3 linked regions of the Drosophila melanogaster genome follow. Changing the gene in region 2 together with the main gene of any one other region gives a genetic interaction. Each region holds a gene or a part of one and is shown on either strand. Other genes may lie near its edges.

Region 1 (5,910 bases), on a different chromosome or scaffold from region 2:
TTGCGATTACTGAATTTCGTATTAATAAGACATCTTTGGTCGAAATGATATGCAATTTGAATGCGATTAAAGATCTATTCCTGACATGAGACCAATAATAATGCCCATTAGCTAAATGAGCACATTGATGTCTCTATACATTTGTTTTTTAGAAAACTGTGTTCTGAATGCTCACTGAGTACTTTCGTACGCTCTCAGGGTGCGCTTCGTCACTACGTGAACGGGCGTCTACATCGATTAGATGATAAGTGAGGAAGACTGGAATGCCTAGATCGACTTGGCTAGTTATCCGGCTAAAAGCAAAAAATGAAGAGTGGCCCATGAGGGGATCGAACCCGCGACCTTCGCGTTATTAGCACGACGCTCTAACCAACTGAGCTAATGGGCCTTCGTGAGAGCGGCGTTCTGGGTTATCAATTTGGATTGGGGGTGCTTCTCTAAACACTCATATCGCTACTTATTTAAAGTCCGAATAAAGTGGATGTTATCTATGTATATACTGATTACCTTTTTGTATTCCAGCCTATTGGGTTATAAACAAATAGAAATATGTGTGAATATAAAATATAAAACAATTCGATTACAATTTTCAATTTCTTGGAAAGCGTGTTGCATGTTTTTTTATTCTTATCAGCAAAAAAGAAATGTAATAAGAAAGCCTGCTGAGACCACTTATTGCAATATCAGTCTTCGGCAAGTAGTCTTCTGAATCGGACAATGGAGTGCCACTAGACCATAGGAGTGCTTCTCCTGAGCTGGTTGGTTTGTGGCCACGCCTGTTATTATCCAAAACGATGTTTGGCCAACGATGGGAGTGCACCAAACCGGCGATTGGCATCGACCGACTAATGTATTCTGTGGACCCACTTAAGTGTGTTGTGAAATAAGGGCTCAAGTAAGTGAAATAAGAGCTCAAGTAAGTGCACTACAGGTTCACAGAGTTTGTACGCAGCTTGTATCCATTCTACCCCTACTACACCAGATGGAGAATCCGTCCCTGTCCTCGTTCTTTGGAGGAGGTTCCCTGATTGCCCCTGAGGTTGTACTAACGGCAGCCCACCTGTTGTTGTCTATACCTGGAGTCTACATTTGCATTTAAAAATGACATACAGCCCATCTGCTTACCTCTTCAAGGGTCGTCCATTGAGCAGACACACTGTGTGATTTCCGGATGGGGAAAGCGTTCTTTTAACGACTCTCAAATGTCGAGTATACAAAAGCAAATCGAGTTACCCATAGTAAACAAAGGAGATTGCCAGAATATGTTGAGGAAAACCAGGTTTCAGCTTGCCACCAGTCTCATATGTGTCAGCGGACAGAAGGACAAGGATGTCTGCGTTGGTGACGGTGGGTCCATCTTGGTTTGTTCCCCTGACGCAATCTTCGCTAGATATCACCAGGTCGGGATCGTGGCCTGGGGCGTCGATTGCGGCAGGCCAAACGTTTCCTCGACCTTCAAAAATGTGTCCATGTTCAGGAAGTGGATTGATCGCAACTTTCCAAGCAACTCGGTGGAACCGCTTAGGAACTGTATTCCTATCCACCCAAGAATTTCGTCCTATAAAATGAGATACATGTTGCTTTAAATCACCAAACTTAGCTAATGTAATTACATATATTGTATCAAATATATGTATTTATGAAATTAAATTATCAAACGGAGTCGATTTTAACCACCTGCTGAACTTCAGGTTAAATTATTTTTAAATTGAAGCTTAAGTCTTGGGTATAAATATTTATCAACTAAATTGTTATTTTTTGGTCGAGGAATGTCATAATATTGGGTGCAAGAGTTTTTTCTCTTAGACTACCATTCTGCTGATTGAAAGTATAATATATATCATTAGTCAAATGCAGTATGAGATATTTACCCCAGGAAATAAGCACATTTGTTTGATTTGTTCTTGTGTTCATTTCATTTCTTCATTTTCATTACAGTGACCTTATTAAGATTTTAATTTTTTATCCGTCTACAATTAGTCTTATTGTTGCTGGTTTTATATTTTCTTAACCAAAATAGTGGAGGCTAGTCAATGCTATACAAACTTGTCACGAAAACTTAAGTTCCTTTAAATCTGGTAAGTGCACCTTAACCGCCAAAATTTCAAACTCACCGAAAATGTTAAGCCACAAGTACTCAATAGGCCGATTGTCAGCATCGATGGCGGCATCGATGTTTCCCCACCGCGAACAGAGTGGCTGGCCACACTGGCGCTCAGCTGGCGCTCAGCTGGCGCAGTTGTTGTTATTCTTGCATTTCTACAGCGCGAGGTCCGAATTTTCGAGCGCAGCGCGGCCACAATTTTCCGGGCGTTAGTTAACCGAGACGACTAGTTTAATTAGCGGAATTGTGCGACGACGTCGTGGTTGAAATTCAATTTGAACGCCCAGGCGGTAGATCGGTAAAATCGCGACATCAAAGCACGAGAGTGAGTGAAAAGAGAACCCTGGAAAGTGGTCAATGTGTGTGTATTTGGCGAGCAGTGGCGGAGCACTGAAAAAACCAGTTAGCTGGCAGTGAAAGAGATTCAATAACGTGTTGGTGGGCAAAAGAAGAACAAATTGTTTCGAGTGTGCGAGGCGACGACGACGACATCCAACTGGTCCGGTACGAAGAAGTCCGCTTTCCTCGCTCATTAGCGGCGCTTTCCTCGGGCCCACGATCTGGAAGTCTGGAAATCGGCGATACCTAAAACCGGGCCATAGCCACCACTATCATTATCAACAAATTGATATACATATGCAATTGCAGCAGCGCGTCATCAGCACAGCGCCCATCGCCTAGCAGGTGCGTTCCGTACCGTCCGTCACTTTCGACATTATATTGGTCTGATCGGGTTTCTCTCTCTCTCTGGTGCGTGGTATCTTCTATGTATATACTATAACTATGCATACTATATATGCTCCGTAACAACACACTGCATTGTCTTTCGGGAATTGTTAACACCCCGCCCCGGTGGTGGAGCATCTTTGGCATCCATTCAGTCGGTTGCCCATTCATTTGCCTAACAGACTCTTTTCTGCGCCAACCGACGAACAAGTAAAGTGAAAGGCGGCGGCACGCGTTTTCCCATCTTTTGTATTGAATTTCGCTTCGGCAGCGAGGAAAGCGAAATCGTTCTTAGTCATCAGGACGTGTGGTGAGAGGAGGAGGGTGGGCCAAATCAACATGCAACCGCCTGGCAACAGGCAATGCGTCACAAAAAAACAAGGAATTTCAATTTCCAAGCTGGGATTACTAGTTAACTAAAGCAGACTGTAGTGCAGGGGAAGGTGGTGTTACCGGGGTAGAAATTGAAGGAAATCAAAGGCGATCGATAAAATAATAATATCGATAAACAACATTTGATGAGACGAAAGAAAAGATTCGTGGTTCAAGTTGTTTTACTTTCAGCCAGGCATTTTTAAAAACTTGGATGCATTTAAAACCGGCAAGACAGGCCAAAACGCTGTTGACCCACGGACCTTATCGATTTTTGCAGCTGCTGGGCGGCTAATCATTGGTTTTGTGGCGTGACAAGTGTTTCGGCACCACACCCACTGTCTGTATGTCAGAGGAAAAAAGCGTAAGCGGAAGTGATTTCATAGACCGAAACTCACCCCGAAAACTGAAACGCTGAAAGGGGCATTTCCGTGCTTTGTGGCCATTGCCTGCCCCAAGTCGCTAGTTCATTTTCCGCTATTATGTTGAGGTTAGGACTTTCCAAATCCATGTGATTTCCCAGGGTGCCGGCTTCTGTGCGTCGTCGCAAAAATATGCTGCACTTCGGGGGTGCAAACAGCATGCTTTTCGTTTTCGTTGAAGTTTCACGGCCGAATTGATTTTTCCAGCCTAGACATTACAAAATGCCTCGCCGAAGTGGCGATAATAAAGCGCCTTTTCAGTTTTGCAGCCAGCACGCACATCGGGGCATTTATTACCGCTTTTCCGTTTTCCCTCTTACAAAACTGTGAAGTTAATGCGGCCAGCACGTGGGTCTACGCACTGAGTTTTCCGTTCCTCAGTTTTCATCTGGCCAAGCACTTCTCAGCTGGCCGCCGAAAAGAAAGGGGCAACGAAAGACGCAACCATGACCAAAGAAACTCAAAACTCCAAACTTGAGCAATTTGTAGGCAAATTAAGGTGTTAACTAACCGTGAAGTTGGTCAGTGGGAAACCCATCGAAGATGCTCTAGCTTAAAGCTCATACAGAGCAATAAACAAGTGTTTCTTTGAAGATCTTCGATCTGCTCTTATAATCTTAGATAAGAAACTAGCAAAGTTGAACTTAACTGAGGCAGATAAGTATCTCTAGGTTTAACGAGTTATGATTTCTGGCATATTTCTCGCTGTGTATTTTCGGCAGACGAGCAGCTCGGAAATTGTTTGATCGATTCGATTCCTTCGTCCGCTTCCGCTCCGCCGCTATCGGCTGTTGCCTTTTACCCGCCCATTCGCCACTTGCTAACAGTTGTTTTCGTACGTGAGCAGCGCTCGGATAGGCAGATACTCCCCGTCAGATACACAAGATAGCTTCCTCTTCTGCCTGGATGCGATGCACTGTGTCCGCTCCGCGCTCTCCGTTCTCCAGCTCACCAAGCGGAAGCAACTCCATTTATGTAAATTGCTTGCGTGACATTTCAATGCGACGGGGCGCTTTATGAAAAGCTGGAGCGGCATGGTCCGAGCGGGATGAGCGGTGGCTGGGAATAATGGGTTGAAGAATCGTGGGTCTGGTCTGGTCTGGTAGCTAGGGCTGCCACGGGCTGCTCCGTCATGCCAACAGTTGGCAATCAGTTTAACTGTGCTTTTTATGGCCGTACTTTGCGCTTTTTATGCGCACTCATTGCCGCACATGTGCAATATTACTGCACTAACGTTTTTGCAATCAGTATCAGATGTACTCGGAACTGGTGTGAATGAATCTGCATGTTTTCCATCTGCGTGATGTTTCTACTCCGCTTTAATTATCCACAGTTCCTCAGTCGTTTCATATCATTAATACATGATTGGGCACAGCGATCAATCTTTTTGCACACTAAATACTTGTCTTTGCCTACAATCAGAAGTAATAGAAAGATCGGATTTTATTGTTTATCAGATACAAAAACTGGCGCTTATGTACATATATCTACAATTATTGTTTTTTTTTGCCACTTCCAGTTTTAATTATCCCGAATTTCCGCTCCGATTTCATCACCCGTAATTTGTGAACTGATGAAAACAATACAGCCTTCGGATTAACATATTTTGGAGAAACGTTACAAAGAGATAAAATTCATATTTGAGTTTAGATTGTCGGGCGGCGTAAACTTGGCCCAAAACAAACATTGCCACGGCTTTTCGGCTATAATTCGTTTGCTTAATTTGCTTTTTCGAGCTCGCAGTTCAGCGAGGTGAAACGGTTAAATGTTTTCAAAACTGCCCCAATGTTTTCCCTTCGCCATACGTAGATACTTAGATACATATGTATATACATACTTGACGTTGCGTGTGGTGCTCATTGTTGTTTGGCTGTGCATTATGCTAACTAGACCCTAATGTCGGTGCCCGGGTGTTTTGAGTGCTCCACATTAGTAGTTTTTGTGGAATATGCCCCATAAAGGGCCATTCGATATGTTTCAGCCAGGGCTGCGAGTTCATTGCACTGGATCATCGAATCGTGGAGCAACGACTCTGGTTCGGGACCATGCCAAATGCAAAATGTCAGCAATTTATGAATAATGTAGTGAGAAACACAGGAATCGCAGAAAACGTGATCGGAAAATGCCACAAAAACAGTGCATAAATAATACCAACATATAATTGGGCAGGGCGAAGCGACATTTAAGCTTTCGCTTCGCCCACAGTCCATCTGAATTATCTGTGGAAATAGCAAATTGGATACTTGTTTATATTAGCAGTGGGTCGGGTCTTCGTTCGCCAACTAC
Region 2 (7,774 bases):
AACGTTGGTCCTCCAGTGGGACCGACTCAATGGAATGAACGACCCAGCCTGGGTTGCGCCGGGACCGCCAGTTGGGTTGAAGCTCCTGCAGCTTCTGGACGTAGGCCTGCCGGGCAGCGGACTGGGACATTGTTCCCAGATTGCGCCAAGCCTGCCACTTGCTCTTGGCCTGCAGTTGAAGCAGACCCGGACTTTGCTCCTTGCAGGGGCCATTCGTGGCCTGCTTGTAGTATCCGTAAAATATTAAAAGGTCCGCGGAACCAATGCTGTTTGACTGCTTGGCCACATGCTCGGTGGCAAGGTGGAAAAGCTCGTCCACGGTGTCCGTATCGCTGTCCGACATGTCAAAAAAAAAAAAAATCTGCTGAGCTTATAAACTAAATGACAATTAAAGTGGGGAATCTAAGATTTCTGTATGTTTAGGTAGTTGCCCTCCAGTATGTGCTTCTGCTCGTTCTCGATCTTCTCCAGCGCGGTCAAACTGTTGAAGCTAACGAAACCGTAGCCCTTCGAGCACCCCGTTCGCTTGTCGAAGATCACGTTGGCGGACACCACGCGTCCGAACTCGCGGAAGTAGCCACGCAACTCCTGGTGGCCCACTGTCCACGGTAGATTGCCCACGAAAATGCGGTGCACTGATTTTCCGACTTTTGCTACAGCTGCGGCGGTGGCCATGGACTCGGTTTTGCTAAATGAGGTGTGAATTCGAATTAAATATGGTTTTCTGCTTCTTCCAGCCAAGGCGATCTGGATTCCCGGCGACTCCTTACCAGTTGCGTTGCGTAAATACTGCTGCGTTTCTGTTTCACGTCAACTTGCTGTTTTTGTCGACAGAGAGACATAACCTCAAAGAGGCAGCTAACAGCGCAGTGCTATTACCCTACATGTCGGAGTACATTTGTTCATATATGTAATCAATACTGCAGAGGAGCGTACAGATAATTAGTTAAATGTAATCAATTGGTTTGAAAGCCAATGTAATGACTTCTAAGCTACATTACTCCTAAAATAGTAGTTCATGCAAATAGAATAATTATTTTGTATGTCTATAAATTAAAACTATTGGTTTCAATAGATTAATCTCTCAGAATCGATTTAATTTAAATCTTTATCGTGCTAATCATTTTTCTTAATGTCATAATATTCATCCAAATAGAGTATCAAATCGCTGATGTCTAGTAAGCATAAGCTGCTTTCATTCATTATTTGTGCGCTTAACAGCACATATTCGCACTAACAGGTTCTTACTAGCAATCTGTTAAGCGACGAAGTTCTGTAGAACGGAAAGGGAGCGCCAAATTCAAACGGCAGATCAAAGAAAACACATTTTTTATTTTTGATTTTGCATGATTTTGTTTTATTTTTGTAATTCTTTTTCTGATTTTCCCTTCCCTTTCCCTTTCTTATTTATTTCATTACTCTTCAGTTTAACAAATTTGCTATCAACTACTTAAAATTAACAACATCGCATACACGTATCTTTCTCGATTTCCTTGCAATAAATAAACAAATATTGATTGTTATAAATGTACAATACGATCAAAAGAACAAGTGGATAAGGGTGGGGTTAGGGGTAAGGGCGTGTGCAAGCTTTTGTTGTTTAGTTTAGAGTGGTGTATTTATGCTTTTGGAAATAACATTAACTATGGAAGCCGTTTTCACGTGTTTCTTTTTGTCTCTCGCCTAATTCCTCTGCTGCTGCCCGGAATATCCTGAATATCCTGTGATGCTTCGGATGATGTGCCACGATTTCTCAATTCTCAGACTAACTCGGTTCTCGTATAATTAGTGATTTGGCTCTCTAAACTCCCTATATATATCTGTCCCAGTCTGCGGCTCATTAACCTGATCTGATCCGATCCTATCAGAATTAATTTGATTTTTAATTCTTTTCGCTACTTGGCTCGCCTTACAAAATATAAATTTTGCCTTACTTGCTTGCTCCTCGGTTGTTGTTTACTTTAATAGTAGTTTATAGTTGTGGGTTGTTGCTTAGTCGTAAATATATAACTTCCCCAAAAATCTTATCCATAGAAAAGTGTTATGTTTGGTTTGCAAGCAATGAAACTCTTGAAGATCTTTCATCCGTTTAGTTTTGTACAGGAAACAAGGGCAGAACGTACGTAAGTCTATACAGAATCGGTTACATATTTAATAATTATCCATAATAATGATGTCCAAGTTAAGTTTCGTAATTAACTAATTTGTATAACTATAAGTATTTTGCTTCGTCTTGTTAGTTCGTATCTGCACAAAAACAACTCCAGTGTCATAATAGTTAATTGTTATCATGGTATAGAAATTACAAGACTGTTGTTGTAAGTGGCCTTAGATTTAAATTACAATAATATGATATATAACTTGACAAATTTGTTCTTTATGTTGTGGCTTCGCCTTCTGCTCAGCTTTACATTCATATATATACTGTATACTGTATATATATACTTTATACTATATACTGTCTGTGTTCAAGAGTTTTTATTTGATATTATAATCAAAATATACACCCAAAAAAACAAGCGAAAAAAATGTCTAATAAAAATAGCTGGTCTCTACATATATGGACAAGTATGTATGCATAATTAGATTGTTAAAAAAAAACTGTTAGTCTATACACAAAAGGAGAAATAAACCATCGCTTCCAAATCTCCCAATATATCCTCAACTTTCTGCTTTATCTGTTTGTCTCATCTTATCTCCGCTCATTTGACTGAATGGTACAAATTTTAAATAATAATGAACAAATTCGTTAATGTGTCACAGCACCACCTTGTTTGTTGTTAATTTCAGAAGATATTCTCCCCACTTCGCTGGCCCTCAGTGCTCCTTCTAAATAGATAAACTAAACTAGCGACAGGCGGCCCACCTGCTACCAGAGGCGGTGCAGGTGCAAGTTCCTCGACAGCACCGATCTCACGTCGTTCGTGAACCTCAGCGCATCCAGCATGGGCAGCAGCGACAGCAGCGCCGTGTCCATCGGGTCCGAGAACCAACTCTTGATGGGTATGGCGTTGTTGGGAAAACAGCGATAGGCGCCGGGCGAATTGTCGATGATAAATATCTGCAAGGAACGATGCTCAATTTAGAACAAAATACTCGTATATAAAGTACGATCTTATGCAGCACCCTCTACTTTATCGATTTGCAACTGATGGCTCGCATGGAGTCACTTGTTCCCGCTTACCCTATTTAGGTCACTGCAGATGGCCGACAGGTCTTTGGTGTAGGATCCGTAGTCGGGCGTGCAGTGCTGTCTGTAGTATCGCCTCCGGAGGATGTTTCGTCCGTTGTCCAGCTTGTCTGCCACCGCCGCTCCGTAAATCTCCATGCTGGCCGTGAAGACCACCAGATCGTACCACTGCGAGACCTGCGGGCAGTAGGGCGTAAGTTAATGTGTTGACTTAAATGCGGGAATGCATCTATTTGCTTGGCCAATCAATTCGGGAACTTACCACGTCCAGGAAGTAGTCCACATGCGGTCGCTTGTGCACGAAAAAGCGCACTGGATTCCGATCGATGGTCACTTTGACAGTGAAATCGTGCGGCGTGCCCGGCTTCACCGTATTCCGGGGCATCGCATTGTGATGGGAGTGGATTAGCGTTTCGTCCAGGTCCAGAACGAGGGTCTTGCGCTGCACCAGGCTCAGGCGGTGCCGCGAGACGGGTGACAACGGGAAGAGTTCGTATTTAACCGGTTGATACTGGATAAACTGAGAAAGTTAATACATAATCAACGGAGCAGTACTTGAAAGGCATTCGACATGGGGTTCATATGATGGGCTTGGTGGCTATGCGTCGCTACACTCTGTTGGGGTTGGGTTGCGGTGCAAGGAGATGTTAGAGGTGCTCAATGGCCAAGTTATCACTAGTGCATGGGAAACCCCAATTTACTGATATATTATGCTTTTACAAAACAATTAACAATTATTAGCTGTGCAATAGCATATAATGTTGATGTGGATTCATCGATATCTATGTATATAAGCAGGTCGAAGGTCAGTGCCTCTGCCGCGTCACGATATCTGGCCAAAATCGCCGGCCCAGTACTGAGAGAGTATTGAAGGCGGGTGGTCGATAAGGCGGATGGGAGAACCGTGGACAGCACTTCTGGGACGGGTGGGGATTCGGTGGAACACGAACCATTAAACGTGTGGCGGAAAATCTTGATAGAGGCTTACTTTAAGACAGGTGTCACTGGCTAAGCGGTACCCAGCAAAAATATATGTAACTTTACGAAAATTTAAAATTTTGCAAATATTTAGGAATAAATATCTCGTATTCGTATATATTGAAAGTTACTCTAAATTTAATAGATCGCACATTGAAGTAACGTAAATATAATTTGAAAATATAAATGAAACCATATTATTGATATGAGAGATTTGCAGATACAAAGATCTAAAATATATGAATTAATTTTAAGTTCAACGTTTCTATTCATGCAAATCTTCAAATAAATTTCCGAGGCAAACACATCCATACTCTCTAGCGAGTACTACCTGTATCATTGAAAATCTTATCAGTGCGGCCGCTTTTATTATTATTATTCTGTAGCAGTAGTACTTAAGTTTCGATAGCGGGAGCGGGTTGGGAATAATTTCGGCGTTTCGGGCGGGTAAAAATAGGACTATTTTTGTTTTGTGATTTACTCCTGCTTTCGGGTAATTTCAGTACTTACAGCTCGCACTTGGCGATTGAACATGAAACAAATGCATGTCCATACTTTTGATAGCAACAACAAAAGCGCACGGAATTTCATTTGCAGCAGCGAAATCATTGGAAATAGTGCAAGTCCTTGTACGGTGTTTTTTTTGTTCGGGGCGATTAATTCGATAAATCGACCACGATCCGCGATTGACCGCGGTGCGAGCAGATTCCTCTTCTTCTTCCGCCTCCTCTACTTTATTTTTTCTTTTGCAACGAATTGTTGTTGTTTTTGATAACGCGCCGAGAGCCACACGCACACTCACCCACACACCCGCGGGCGCGCTTCACACAACACACACTCACACAAAAAAAACCCGGAACAAAATCGATAACAAGGCTTCTAGATATTTTGTTGAAAGTGTTTTTCTCTTTTCCCGGTTTTTTACTTGAGTTCAATTATTCGGTGTCGCCTAGTTTTAAGGTCCCTTTTCAAGGGAGAAGGAGGGGTATGGTCTTATTTCCAATTCTTTTGGGGGCTTTTTATATCTGGCGTCTGCTCTTCTTCTTCTCTTTTGTTGTCTTGTACGCCAGTGTGTGAGTGTATTGTTTTTTTTTTAGCGTAGTGTAGTTTTTATATTTTGGCAACTATCGCACCGATTTGGGAATAGATTTTGTTTTTGGTTGAGCAAAACGAATCAATTGATTGAGCTATTGCACTTTGATTGCAGTCGATTGCGAGGTGCGTTCGCCTGAATAGTACGACCTGGCCGTGGACTGTTCATTACTCGTTGGCGCTGCGGCTTAGTGTTTATTACATAAATATAGTTTGTCCGCGTTTCGTTTTTGTTTAATAAATTCCCACACTCATGCACACACTCATGTTTATTCGATACTATCGCACTTTCGCAGCATCGATGAGTTTTCCGCAACTATCGATGGCTGTGTAGTATGACCGTGCGGTGCTGTCTTCAAAATCGCTGAGACACAAACCGTGACACAAACCACTGTGAAAACTCGTCGTTTAAGGTTACGAGTAGGTGCTATGTATGTACGTTTGTGTGCTGCTGTCCAACGTCTTTTAGTGGCGGATATTATAATAGTTTTCCAACTTCCTTGCGACCTATTCCATCACCAGAACCATGGGCCAACAATCGCACACTATTTGCGATCTTAGTCAGACGCACCCACTACGGTCACACCATTCCACATCAGCCTCTCTTCCATCAACACACACACACACTCGCCCGCCCCACACACACACGCACACACACCCACCCACACAGACGCAGTGGCACGAAACGAAAACAATTATTTTGCATCGCAGGCGATAAGTTAAAAGTGATTTAGACCGCACTGAAACCATGTCAGCGGCTGGTAGATCGGTGGACGATCCCGGCCAGAGCCCACTCGTAGACCAAGAGCCGGATCCGGGCCAATCAACGCCAGCGGTGGCCGAAATCGCCGCTTCCAGTGTGAGTGTTTGGTTTTTTTCGCCCTGCTTCTATCTTTTTTTTTTTTGCTGACGACGACGGAAGACACGTCAACTTCTGGAGCGCTGTTGTTTACCTTGTCCACTATCCCACCTAATTAGCCATGTATTCGCCACATAGATTCGATCGGGCCTGGCGGAGCTGGAGCTGCGATCTTCGCAGGTGCTGCAGCGCTTAGAGAACGTTAAGGTGTCGACCACGCCGGAGAGCCCAAATCCCGTCGAGAACGAGGAAGAGGCTGGGGAGCGGGTGACCAGCGAGGACCTCCTGCCAGCGAAGCATCGCGTGCCCTCCGACATTCTTAAGTCGCTGGAGCAATTGGTTTCTTACACGGACAGCGACGATGATCCGGAGTTCCCGCTGCCCGCCCTGGATGACGTCTCCCACTTGGCTCTCATATCGCACAGCATTGTGGCCTATTTGTCGCATCTGGACCGTCAGCAACTGCTCCGGGTGACGAACAGCATTTCCGGGGACGCCACCCGCTGGTTGGGCACGCTGTTTCACTTTGCCCACCCGGCGAGCAGCTTCCATGCGGACAATGCAGACGCGGTGCTGCGTACGGTGCGACTGGCCATCGTCGCCAGGTGTCCGGGGTACTTGGAGGGTGGCATACCCGCCCTGGCGCAGCCTACGTTTTACATCTCGGAGAATACGACGCCGATGAGGCTGCACTACGCATGCCGCCAGTTGGGCATACCGCTGGAGGCTATTAAGGTCATTCCGGAGCACAGTCAGTCCGGGACAATGGATGTGACGCTGCTGCAAAAGCAAATTCAGCAGGATGTGGGCAATAACAGGACTCCGCTGCTGGTGGTCGCCGACATTGGAGCCTCGTTGTGTGGCTATGTGGACAACCTGCTCCGGCTGAGGGACGTATGCAAGGCGCACAACATGTGGCTGCACGCCAGTGGCCACGGACTGGCCGCCTTGGTGTGCGCCCAAAATCAGGGCCATGTGGAGGAGGTACTCCACTCGATGGCCCTGAATTTGGGCAGCTGGCTGGGTGTGCCCAGTCTGCCCATCGTCCTGCTGCACCGTCCGCTGCAGAACAGCGCTCTGAGTGCCTTCGAATCCGATCCCATACTGTCGCGTCGTCTTAATGCCCTGTCCTTGTGGACCAGTTTGCAGGCGCTGGGCCGGAAGGCGATTGCGGAGCGTCTGCATGTGGCCTTCCAGACGTGCAGTATTCTCTTCGAGATTGCCTCCAAGTGTGAGGGCATCCGGGTGTTGGTAAATTATTGCACACACGTTTATGGATAATGTTTTTAGTTTACCAAAGGACCTTGGCATTTTCAGAGCCATACTCCAGGAGCGCAGACCGGAGCCTCTTTGTCGGACGTCATTCAGAGCCCCTTTGATGTGCAGGCGCTTTTTGATGCCGCCGCCCCCGTGGTCGCCTATCAGTTCGACGGCAGCACCACCATTCCACTGGGCGGGAGTGGCTCTTCCGCCGCCGCTGCCGCTGCTGAGCGGGAAACGGCCGAAGGCCTCAAGCCGCTAGAGAAGATTAACAATGCTTCCTACTTCGACCGGCTCAACTCCTGGCTGGGTCAAATCTTGCAACGCGACTGTCCCAATGTATGCAGTGTGAATTAATCATCTCCTTGTATGAGCCTAATCACCATGTTCTTCCA
Region 3 (9,008 bases), on a different chromosome or scaffold from region 2:
AGGAGGAGGAGGAGGAGGAACAGCAGGCGGAGGAAAGTCAATCCGAGTCGGAGCCGCAGAACGAGGAGCAACAGCATTACGAACAGCAAATGCAGGTCCAACGCAAACATCTCCAGGTGCGCAAGGTTCGCAGTGAGATTAAGTATGTGGAAAACAATCCCAAGGAGGCAGCCAAAAAGAATCGCGAGTCCAAGTCGGACCATGAGTTTGCCAACGAGAGAGATGTGAGTAGTATCCACAATATAAATTAACCAGTACTAGCAATTTATTCTCCTGTACGATAACCCATCTTATCCCCACAGTTCAAGCTTAATCCCTCTGTTCAATTCGAGACGGACATTGGCGACAATGTGATGGTCAATCCTGGCCACCGATACGAGGGCGGCGGGGGCGATACGGCCTATGTCTACAACTATGAGCATGAGCAGCAGCAGCAGCCAGTCAAGCGGGGCTACGAGCACGGCTATGTGGTGGGCGTGGGTGACGGATCCCACAGGAGGCAGAGGCAATCTCAACTGGTCGAGGCTTTGGTGCAAAAACGTGTCCCAGGCGCCAGCGATGGACATGTGGCGCAGTTCGTTAGCAATCTGGAACGACAAGCGAATGCTGGTAAAACGGGGAAAAAGCGCCTTAAACCTCGGCCTGAGGACGATCTTCAGGTACCAGTCGGCGACATGCACATGGAGTCGTCGTATATGTCCCGCTCCGAAGAACTCTCCTCAACGGACGTTACGCTGGAGAACTCAGACTACGAGACGGAGGCGACGGACTCCACGTTACTTAGTAGCTCGAAATACTCCTCCATGCATGTCTTTGTGCGGCGCAAGCAATCGGAGTCCATGTCACTCACAGAAGAGGCCGGCGACGGAGATGCCGGCGGTGGTGGAGGCTCTGGCGATTTCGGCGACCAAAATGTCATATCCCCGGCCAATGTCTACATGTCCCTGCAGCTCCAGAAGCAGCGGGAGCAGAGCGCCTAGGGGTCGTGACTTTAGGTTCCTCCATTCAAAATCCCCGCAGCCATTCGCAGCCGGAGCAGCGACACCACAGCTGGCTGATACGCCGAGCAGTAACAACAACAACACCACTACCACCACCATCACACCCACAACAAAGCAGCCAACTCGATTCGATAGGATCCCCACTGGGAGAGCTAAATTTGCAGTCATACTCCCGGGCAGTAGCAGTAGAAAAGGGAACCTGCTCCTTTTTGCACGTCCTGCCATCTGCGAATTCAAGCTGCACCAAAAATGTACAAAAATATACTTTGGTCTTACTAATTTCCATTAAAGATTTATTATTTGTGTGCTCCCTAAGCGAGTTTGTTGGACCTTATTTTCGGATGATTAACCGCCCCAAGTCAAAATGCACATATGCATGATATTGAGTTCTCTATGTGATATCTTTTGATTTATTTAGTCCGTATATTGTGAAATTATAAAATATTTGCGTTCGGTTAAGTTTGCGTTGAATACTACTGATTAAGATTCAATTGGATCAAGTATTTTGAATGTAGTTAAGTTAACTCCATGGTTATTTATTATGTGGAGGTTAGAGGGCGTGCTTAACCGCCAAATCCGTAAAGGGTGCGTCCCTGGCGCTTGAGGGCATAGACCACGTCCATGGCGGTCACGGTCTTGCGCTTGGCGTGCTCGGTGTAGGTGACAGCGTCACGGATAACGTTCTCAAGGAATACCTGTGAATTTTCCGAGAAATTAATCAGTTTTTCACCACTTTCCCTTCGTTTCGCCAGAACGTACCTTTAGCACACCGCGAGTTTCCTCGTAAATCAAGCCAGAGATACGCTTAACACCGCCGCGACGAGCCAAACGGCGAATAGCAGGCTTGGTGATACCCTGGATGTTATCACGAAGCACCTTACGATGACGCTTGGCGCCCCCCTTTCCCAATCCTTTGCCTCCCTTTCCACGACCAGTCATTTCTCAGTTGCTTCGTAAAGTTGGCTGAAAAGAAGAGAAGACGCAATAAACTGTAAAGCGACGCCATGTTTGGTGAAAGGTAAACGTTCATTTGACAGGTGAAAACTGTTGTTAATAAGTCTGTTTTCATACAAAATAATGGTCTCCAATTATTTTTTTTATGTTTATGCACAAAAAAACTTTGTTGACCGATTCTTCTATTATTTACTTAAATTTCTCAGCAACAAAACTCACTTCAAGAAATCTCCAGAAAATTGCTTGTGAGCGTGACCAGATCTCGCACACCTCAAAATACCTTTCGCAAAATGCGCGTATCTAGTATTTCTATTGTCTCACTACCAGCCCTGGTCAGTTATCGCCTATCGGCCATCGCTATCGCCGCCCCGTTGCGACAAAAAAGATTTAATCGAACCGAAAGACGTGCTCGCACTAAAATCGCTTGAAAACAGGCCCGCAGACCTGCGAAAAACGAAAAAGTGCAGCGCGCATATACTTTTTCAACTGTGCCCCTCTAGCTTAAAATTAAGTCGCGGCGAAAAGTCGAGTAAAACCCGCGGAAATGCGCATGCAAACGGCGTGTGGCCAGCAAAATCGCTGCCAAGGCACCGCACACACACTCGGCCACCCACACATACACACTTAGTGCTGTACTCGAAAAGTGCGAAGACAACAGGAACTCTGTGCCAAAATAATATTAACAGTACCCAGTTATTCCATTCCACTGCACCTGTCCCCGAAACATCGAAATATTCGCGTTACGTATACGCAACGAGTGCTGTAAACAAGTTTGCACAGGCGATAACAATGTCCAAATACGATCTGCTTTATCTAACGGCGCAGCTAACGCTGGGTATGTATTGCACTGCGAGTGTGTGGGTGCATACTTATTGGCGCCTTAATTCCCAGTCGCTTTATTATGTACATATGTACATAATATTATATTTTGTCTCTGCCTTACGATTTTCCTCTGTAATGCAAGCCGACTTCGATTTATAACCATTCGTGCGTGTGATTTTTGATGATATGGGGTGCGTAATGCTATTACTTTATTAATATCACATGGCGCTTGAAAAGTTCATATATAGGGTGTATAGGCTTTGTGATAGCTTTGTCCTATTAACCAACACATCAGAACATCTTAAATTTTCAGAAATTAGGTATAACGAATGTAAATGCTAGGAATCAAATCTATTTGTGAAGTGAATAATGTATACACTAGATACTCTATTAAAGCACCAACAATTGTACTACACAAATGTAGTAAAATATCGTAAGAATTGTTGACAGTGGGTACTACGAATTCATATGTTGAGCGCCAAACGCATACTCGGTATAAATCGATCGGATACCTAATTCCCAATCTTAATCCATGTGTGTGTGCGCTGAGCATTTCTTTGAATGGATTTTGCTGCATTAGGAACTTGTTGTATGGCAGGTTCTGGTTTCTCCCACCCTTTTGCTCCACCGGCCTCCCTCTCTTTCGCTCGCCATAGCCCTCTCTCTTTCTGTGGCGCAGTGCGCTCTCTTCCCTGTTGCTGCTGTTGTTGTTGTTGTTTCTGCTGCTGCTGTTTCCTTTTTCCGCACAAGCGCCACTTTAAACCCATCCCTTTCTGTGTGCATAATGTGCCTGCTTATGTATCTACTTTACTATAAAGCATGCACGCTTACGAACACACACATACATGGCCAGCGATCCGATTACCTAAAGGACAGTGGGACGAAAAGTGTTTCAAAGGATTGAAAACAGTTTGCTTAGCCAATGGTCAAGAAATATCAATCAATATATCGCAGGCTCGTTGCAATAAACGTTTTCAAAATTAAATTTTTTGTATTTACACATTTAAAAAGTGAATTATCATTTTAATTTTTATCAACAAAAATTTCGGTATTTGGATGAGGATCCCAGATTAAATCGAATTAAAGAATGTAAATAGATTTTCAAGAAACCTTACTGCAGGCCCACTGTGCACTGCATATCCGTGCATTGGGGCCATGCCCACTCAAAGGCTGGTGTGTGGCCAGTGGGGCTAATTCCGTGCCCAAATGGGGTGGCTTTCAATGGCAGAGGCCCCAGCTTAGGACGCTACTCCTGCTACTTCTGGGCATGCGATATGTGTACAAAGGATAGCGCCCACAAAGAGCTCGCTGAGCGCCCTCCCTTTCAGTCTTATTCCCCAAATAGGCTCGACTTTATTTGCCCACCCTTTGAGCACTTCCAACCGATAATTCCATTAACTTTGATCTTTAACTACGTTTTAACTTTTTGAAAGTCTTTACTCATGTTTTAGGACTGCTCAAATATATACTTTAAATATAGATCAGTGCTAATCTAAAACTAGAAAGATTATTAATCTATTTTCCCATTGTCTTCATTTAGTCTGCTGTCTGATTGGAATCCATGGATCTATTTTGCCCGGAAGTCATGGGATCATAGAATGCGAGCACTTCGACGAGAAGATGTGCAACACAACGCAGCAATGTGAAACACGGATAGAGCACTGTAAGATGGAGGCGGATAAGTTTCCCAGCTGCTATGTCCTTTGGTCGGTCAACGAGACAACGGGTGAGCCGTGCAGAAGTTGACGTTGTTTCAGGCATACTGATTAATTTTAATTTTTCCGTTCCCATAGGCATCCTGCGCATCAAGATGAAGGGCTGCTTCACGGACATGCACGAATGCAATCAGACGGAGTGCGTGACCAGTGCAGAGCCACGGCAGGGAAACATTCACTTCTGCTGCTGCAAGGGATCGCGGTGCAATTCCAACCAGAAATATATTAAAAGCACCACGGAGGCAACCACACAAGGTGGGTTCGGATCCGGTTTCGGATTCAGATTCGGTTTAACGTTTGCTGCTACTGGGGTTTTGTCTTTGGAGTGTTTACCCCAATTTTGTTATTTTTCCGTTTGCATATATTTTTTGTTTGTTTTTGTTATTTCGTTTTTTTTTTTTTTTTTTGTATTTTTACTGCATCTTCAAGTTGCAAAAAGAGGGCGTAGGCTTCGCCTACAAAATACCACTCCTCGCATCCGAGGCAGCGTTTTTCGTGTTAACGAACTCTTGACGCGAAGTGGCGCCCGCTCCCCCATCATTTTCTACATCCCCAGCCTCCAGCAACCCCTTTTCGGAGCCGCATGTGTTGCAATTTCTGCCCTCCTGTGCACGTTCGCTGGTTCGTTTTTATTTTTATAGTAAGGTACTTCTTTAGCGATCGGGTATAATGCGTTCGCTTTAAAGGATGCAACTGAAAGAGGTAGTTATTTGGTATAAATCCAATTTATTTCACTCCGATTATGAAGGCTTAATAGGATTAGACTCTACCTATTTTGAATGATACTTAATTGGCTTGCAGCCTTAACCCACAACGAGGAGAGTATCTGTTATCTAATACCAGGTATACAAGTGTCGAGTGACTTCATTCTAGCATCCTTTCTTGTTTTTATTTTTGGGGTGTTGCTGCTGCCTTTGACTTCGAAGCCCTGTGCTGCCAGGGCGTCTTTTGTGCCCTGCTCTTTGTTGTTTTGTTCTTGGGCCTAGCTCGCTTTTATCTCGAAACAAAATGAGGGGAAAAAGAGATGCGAAATTGGGGGCGAACTTTCGTTTTTTAGTTTTCGTTTTGCCTTTCATAGCAACCCCAGCAGCTGCAGGTGCATGCCGCCACTCGAGATGTTGTTCACCTGTGGCAAGGCAGCGTTTAAAGCCCTCTTTAATGTTCGTTCCCGTGTGTGTCCTTGTATCGTTGCAGTGCCCAAGGAGAAGACGCAGGACGGCAGCAATTTGATATACATCTACATTGGCACCTCCGTTTTCAGCGTGCTCATGGTCATTGTTGGCATGGGCCTTCTTCTCTACCGACGCCGCAAGCAGGCGCACTTTAACGAGATACCCACGGTACGTACATATCCTTGTGATGTTGCCGCAAATATATAATTTTAATTATGCAAAATTAAACCCTTTAGCACGAGGCTGAGATAACAAACTCATCGCCATTGCTCAGCAACCGTCCCATTCAGCTGCTGGAACAGAAGGCCAGTGGTAGATTCGGTGATGTGTGGCAAGCCAAGCTCAACAATCAGGATGTGGCCGTCAAGATCTTTCGCATGCAGGAAAAAGAATCGTGGACCACGGAGCACGATATCTACAAGCTGCCGCGCATGCGCCATCCGAACATCCTCGAATTCCTGGGCGTTGAGAAGCACATGGACAAGCCGGAATATTGGCTGATATCCACCTACCAGCATAACGGATCACTATGCGACTACCTCAAATCGCACACGATCTCATGGCCAGAGTTGTGCCGCATCGCTGAGTCCATGGCCAATGGACTGGCACATCTGCACGAGGAGATCCCGGCATCAAAGACCGATGGGCTAAAACCATCGATAGCTCACCGAGACTTCAAGTCTAAGAACGTACTGCTTAAGAGCGATCTGACGGCCTGTATAGCTGACTTTGGTTTGGCCATGATATTCCAGCCAGGCAAGCCCTGCGGCGATACACACGGTCAAGTAGGCACTCGACGTTACATGGCCCCAGAGGTGCTTGAGGGTGCCATCAATTTCAATAGAGACGCTTTCTTACGCATAGACGTCTACGCATGCGGCCTAGTCCTCTGGGAAATGGTGTCACGGTGTGACTTTGCCGGACCCGTCGGTGAGTTCCAGCTGCCTTTTGAGGCCGAGCTGGGCCTGAGGCCGTCGCTGGACGAAGTTCAGGAGAGTGTGGTAATGAAGAAGCTGCGCCCTCGTTTGCTCAACTCCTGGCGCGCCCATCCGGTGAGTGTGACTTCTGATAATGCTTTTAGTCAATGAAAATAACTTGTAACTTTTTTACAGGGACTTAATGTATTCTGCGACACAATGGAGGAGTGCTGGGATCACGACGCTGAGGCTCGTCTTAGCTCTTCGTGTGTGATGGAACGCTTTGCGCAGCTAAACAAGTATCCCTCAACCCAGTTGCTAATCAAGAACCACACCAACATTGACGACGCCAAGGAATCTACGAATTGCTTATAGAAGCGGTACTAAGCCACAGACCAGCCAGCGGATCTGTGGCTCTGCAAAAAAATCAGTTGAAGCTTTTTGCTTCGTAGTGGATAGTTGATCGTCGAGGTCGTAAGACGTTTCGTTTTTAGTTTAATAGTTTGTAGTACCATTATAAGCAGCTATAGAATGGGTTGATTTATACGAAAGAAGTCGTGTAAGATGTAACTTTTCCTAAGGGAAAAGCCAAAAGCTTAACATGCCAACGATTCTTTGTTATTATTTTCTTTAAATTATAAATCGACTCATTCGATGTTAACCCGAGTTCTTAAATCTGTTGGAAATGAGTGGAAACGTACACTAAGCAACTTTGAACAAAGAGCATTAGCTATGTCCAGAGACGTGGTAGTTGCTAATCCGACATTGACTTCATTGACTGATAACCATATATAGTTCTATATAAATCATACATATAACGTACAATTTGTTTTGCCCTCTGGCAGTAGCCTGTGTGCATATGTAAACTGTTGAAAATTATCGTCAAGCCTTTTAAAGTATAATTTTATTTGTACGTTATCGAATGTCTTCATATAGTAGTAGTTTTATATTTAAAGTTATTTTCAAAATAGATTTAACAATTTTAGTTTACTTTTTAGTTGTAACGTTTTTATTTCGCGCTCAAACGTGCATGCGTTTTAATGTTGTATTTTAAATAAAAATACTTTAAACTCCATCCTAACCATCTGATTTTTTATTATTTTGTCTGTTTTATATTTCTGCTTTTGATTTTTATTTTTTTATTTCCAAAACGTAGTGCCAATGACCCTCAGAAATCGCGTAAGCATAATAAATGTGTAATTATGTAATTGTATTCTAATTCTACTGGACAGTACAAGCAACACCTGAAGTTTTCAAAGGAAAGTTTCTTTTTAACAAGAATCTAACTTAAGCGCATATACATAAATTATAAAATATAAACTATACTCTTTATATATACACACAACACATACACGCATAGGCATACGGAACACACGCAGTCTAGCAGGTTTATATGAAGCACACGCTGCGACTCATCGTCAGCATAAAATCTAAACAAAAAAAAAATCAAAGTTAATATTCAACCCAAGAGGTATGCACACACTGTAAGAAATTAGAGCTAAACACAATGAGTAAGTATGTTAAACATTGTTAAACGGATAGTATGTCTTATAATGTTAGCCAAACAAGGTGTATGTCGAGCTATAGTTATTTAAGCTATAGTTTAATTAAGAGAGTCTTGGCGGAATGTATTATCTTTCGGGTTATTTGAAACTTTTTTGCGCAGCATCAGTTCTTATCAATGGCTAAGCATCTGAAATACTTCTGGATTATCAGTTAAGATATCAACTAAACACGATACACAACACAGAACAAAACGAAACAAACAAAGCTTCATTACCTGATTTTTTTGAGCAACTTACAACAAAAATAGTTTATTACGCAAACAAACAAAAACCAAACGACATAATCTTAATAATAGAACGAATTTTGTTATGCTGTATTTAATTTGTATATTTTCCATTGGTGCTGAAACATCATTACGACGAACATAATGATAATGAAGATAATAAGAAACGAATTCAAAAACAACCAGTATTTAAAGAGCGAAGGAATAAACAATTAATATTTAATCATAGTAGTTTGTTACATATCAGATTGCTAAATGGGATAGAGGAAGATAATATAAATCGATCATTTCAAAAAGATTTGCAGAGAAATTTTTATAGCATTATACAAGGCAATAACAAGCCAACAGCAATTTTGGTATATTTTTTAATGCATTTCATAAGTAAAACCAAAACGAGTTTATAAACAGTAAATTCATAAGAAAATCTTTTTAAAACACCCCATTTTCGAATATCATCAGCAAAGTTTTATAAAAACCAATATGCGAAAAACATATACGAGATGATAGCAAGTCGTGTTAAGAAGTTTACGATTAAAAAACGATCTTTGATAATAACGGATTTAAAATAAAAATGCAACTGTTTAATAAACAATTCATCACCGGTTTTTCCTTAATAAAAATCGACTCTATTCCAGCTT

The links. Genes that interact genetically often act in the same process or in processes that back each other up.
Region 1: of Dd (region 2) and Lpin, changing one suppresses a phenotype caused by changing the other (phenotypic suppression), as found in Drosophila melanogaster (one study listed by BioGRID).
Region 3: of Dd (region 2) and put, changing one suppresses a phenotype caused by changing the other (phenotypic suppression), as found in Drosophila melanogaster (one study listed by BioGRID).

The regions. Positions count from the first base shown.
Region 1 is NT_033778.4:8,152,933-8,158,842, reverse strand, and holds the start of Lpin (lipin), read left to right. Parts: upstream 1-2,188; 5' UTR 2,189-2,788; intron 2,789-5,910.
Region 2 is NC_004354.4:21,318,453-21,326,226, forward strand, and holds Dd (dullard), read right to left. Parts: upstream 5,558-7,774; 5' UTR 4,778-5,557; coding exon 4,679-4,777; intron 3,711-4,678; coding exon 3,453-3,710; intron 3,368-3,452; coding exon 3,185-3,367; intron 3,062-3,184; coding exon 2,870-3,061; 3' UTR 1,339-2,869; downstream 1-1,338. Other genes in the region: anox (anorexia), read right to left, coding at 1-343; SLIRP1 (SRA stem-loop interacting RNA binding protein 1), read right to left, coding at 403-675; CG1486 (uncharacterized protein), read left to right, coding at 6,009-6,119, 6,258-7,370, 7,437-7,718. UniProt on the Drosophila melanogaster protein: Serine/threonine protein phosphatase that may dephosphorylate and activate lipin-like phosphatases.
Region 3 is NT_033777.3:14,618,982-14,627,989, reverse strand, and holds put (punt), read left to right. Parts: upstream 1-2,286; 5' UTR 2,287-2,744; coding exon 2,745-2,790; intron 2,791-4,317; coding exon 4,318-4,503; intron 4,504-4,570; coding exon 4,571-4,747; intron 4,748-5,686; coding exon 5,687-5,832; intron 5,833-5,900; coding exon 5,901-6,716; intron 6,717-6,776; coding exon 6,777-6,956; coding exon of another isoform or gene 6,957-6,968; 3' UTR 6,969-8,960; downstream 8,961-9,008. Other genes in the region: CG7886 (uncharacterized protein), read left to right, coding at 1-224, 303-980; His4r (histone H4 replacement), read right to left, coding at 1,565-1,696, 1,761-1,940.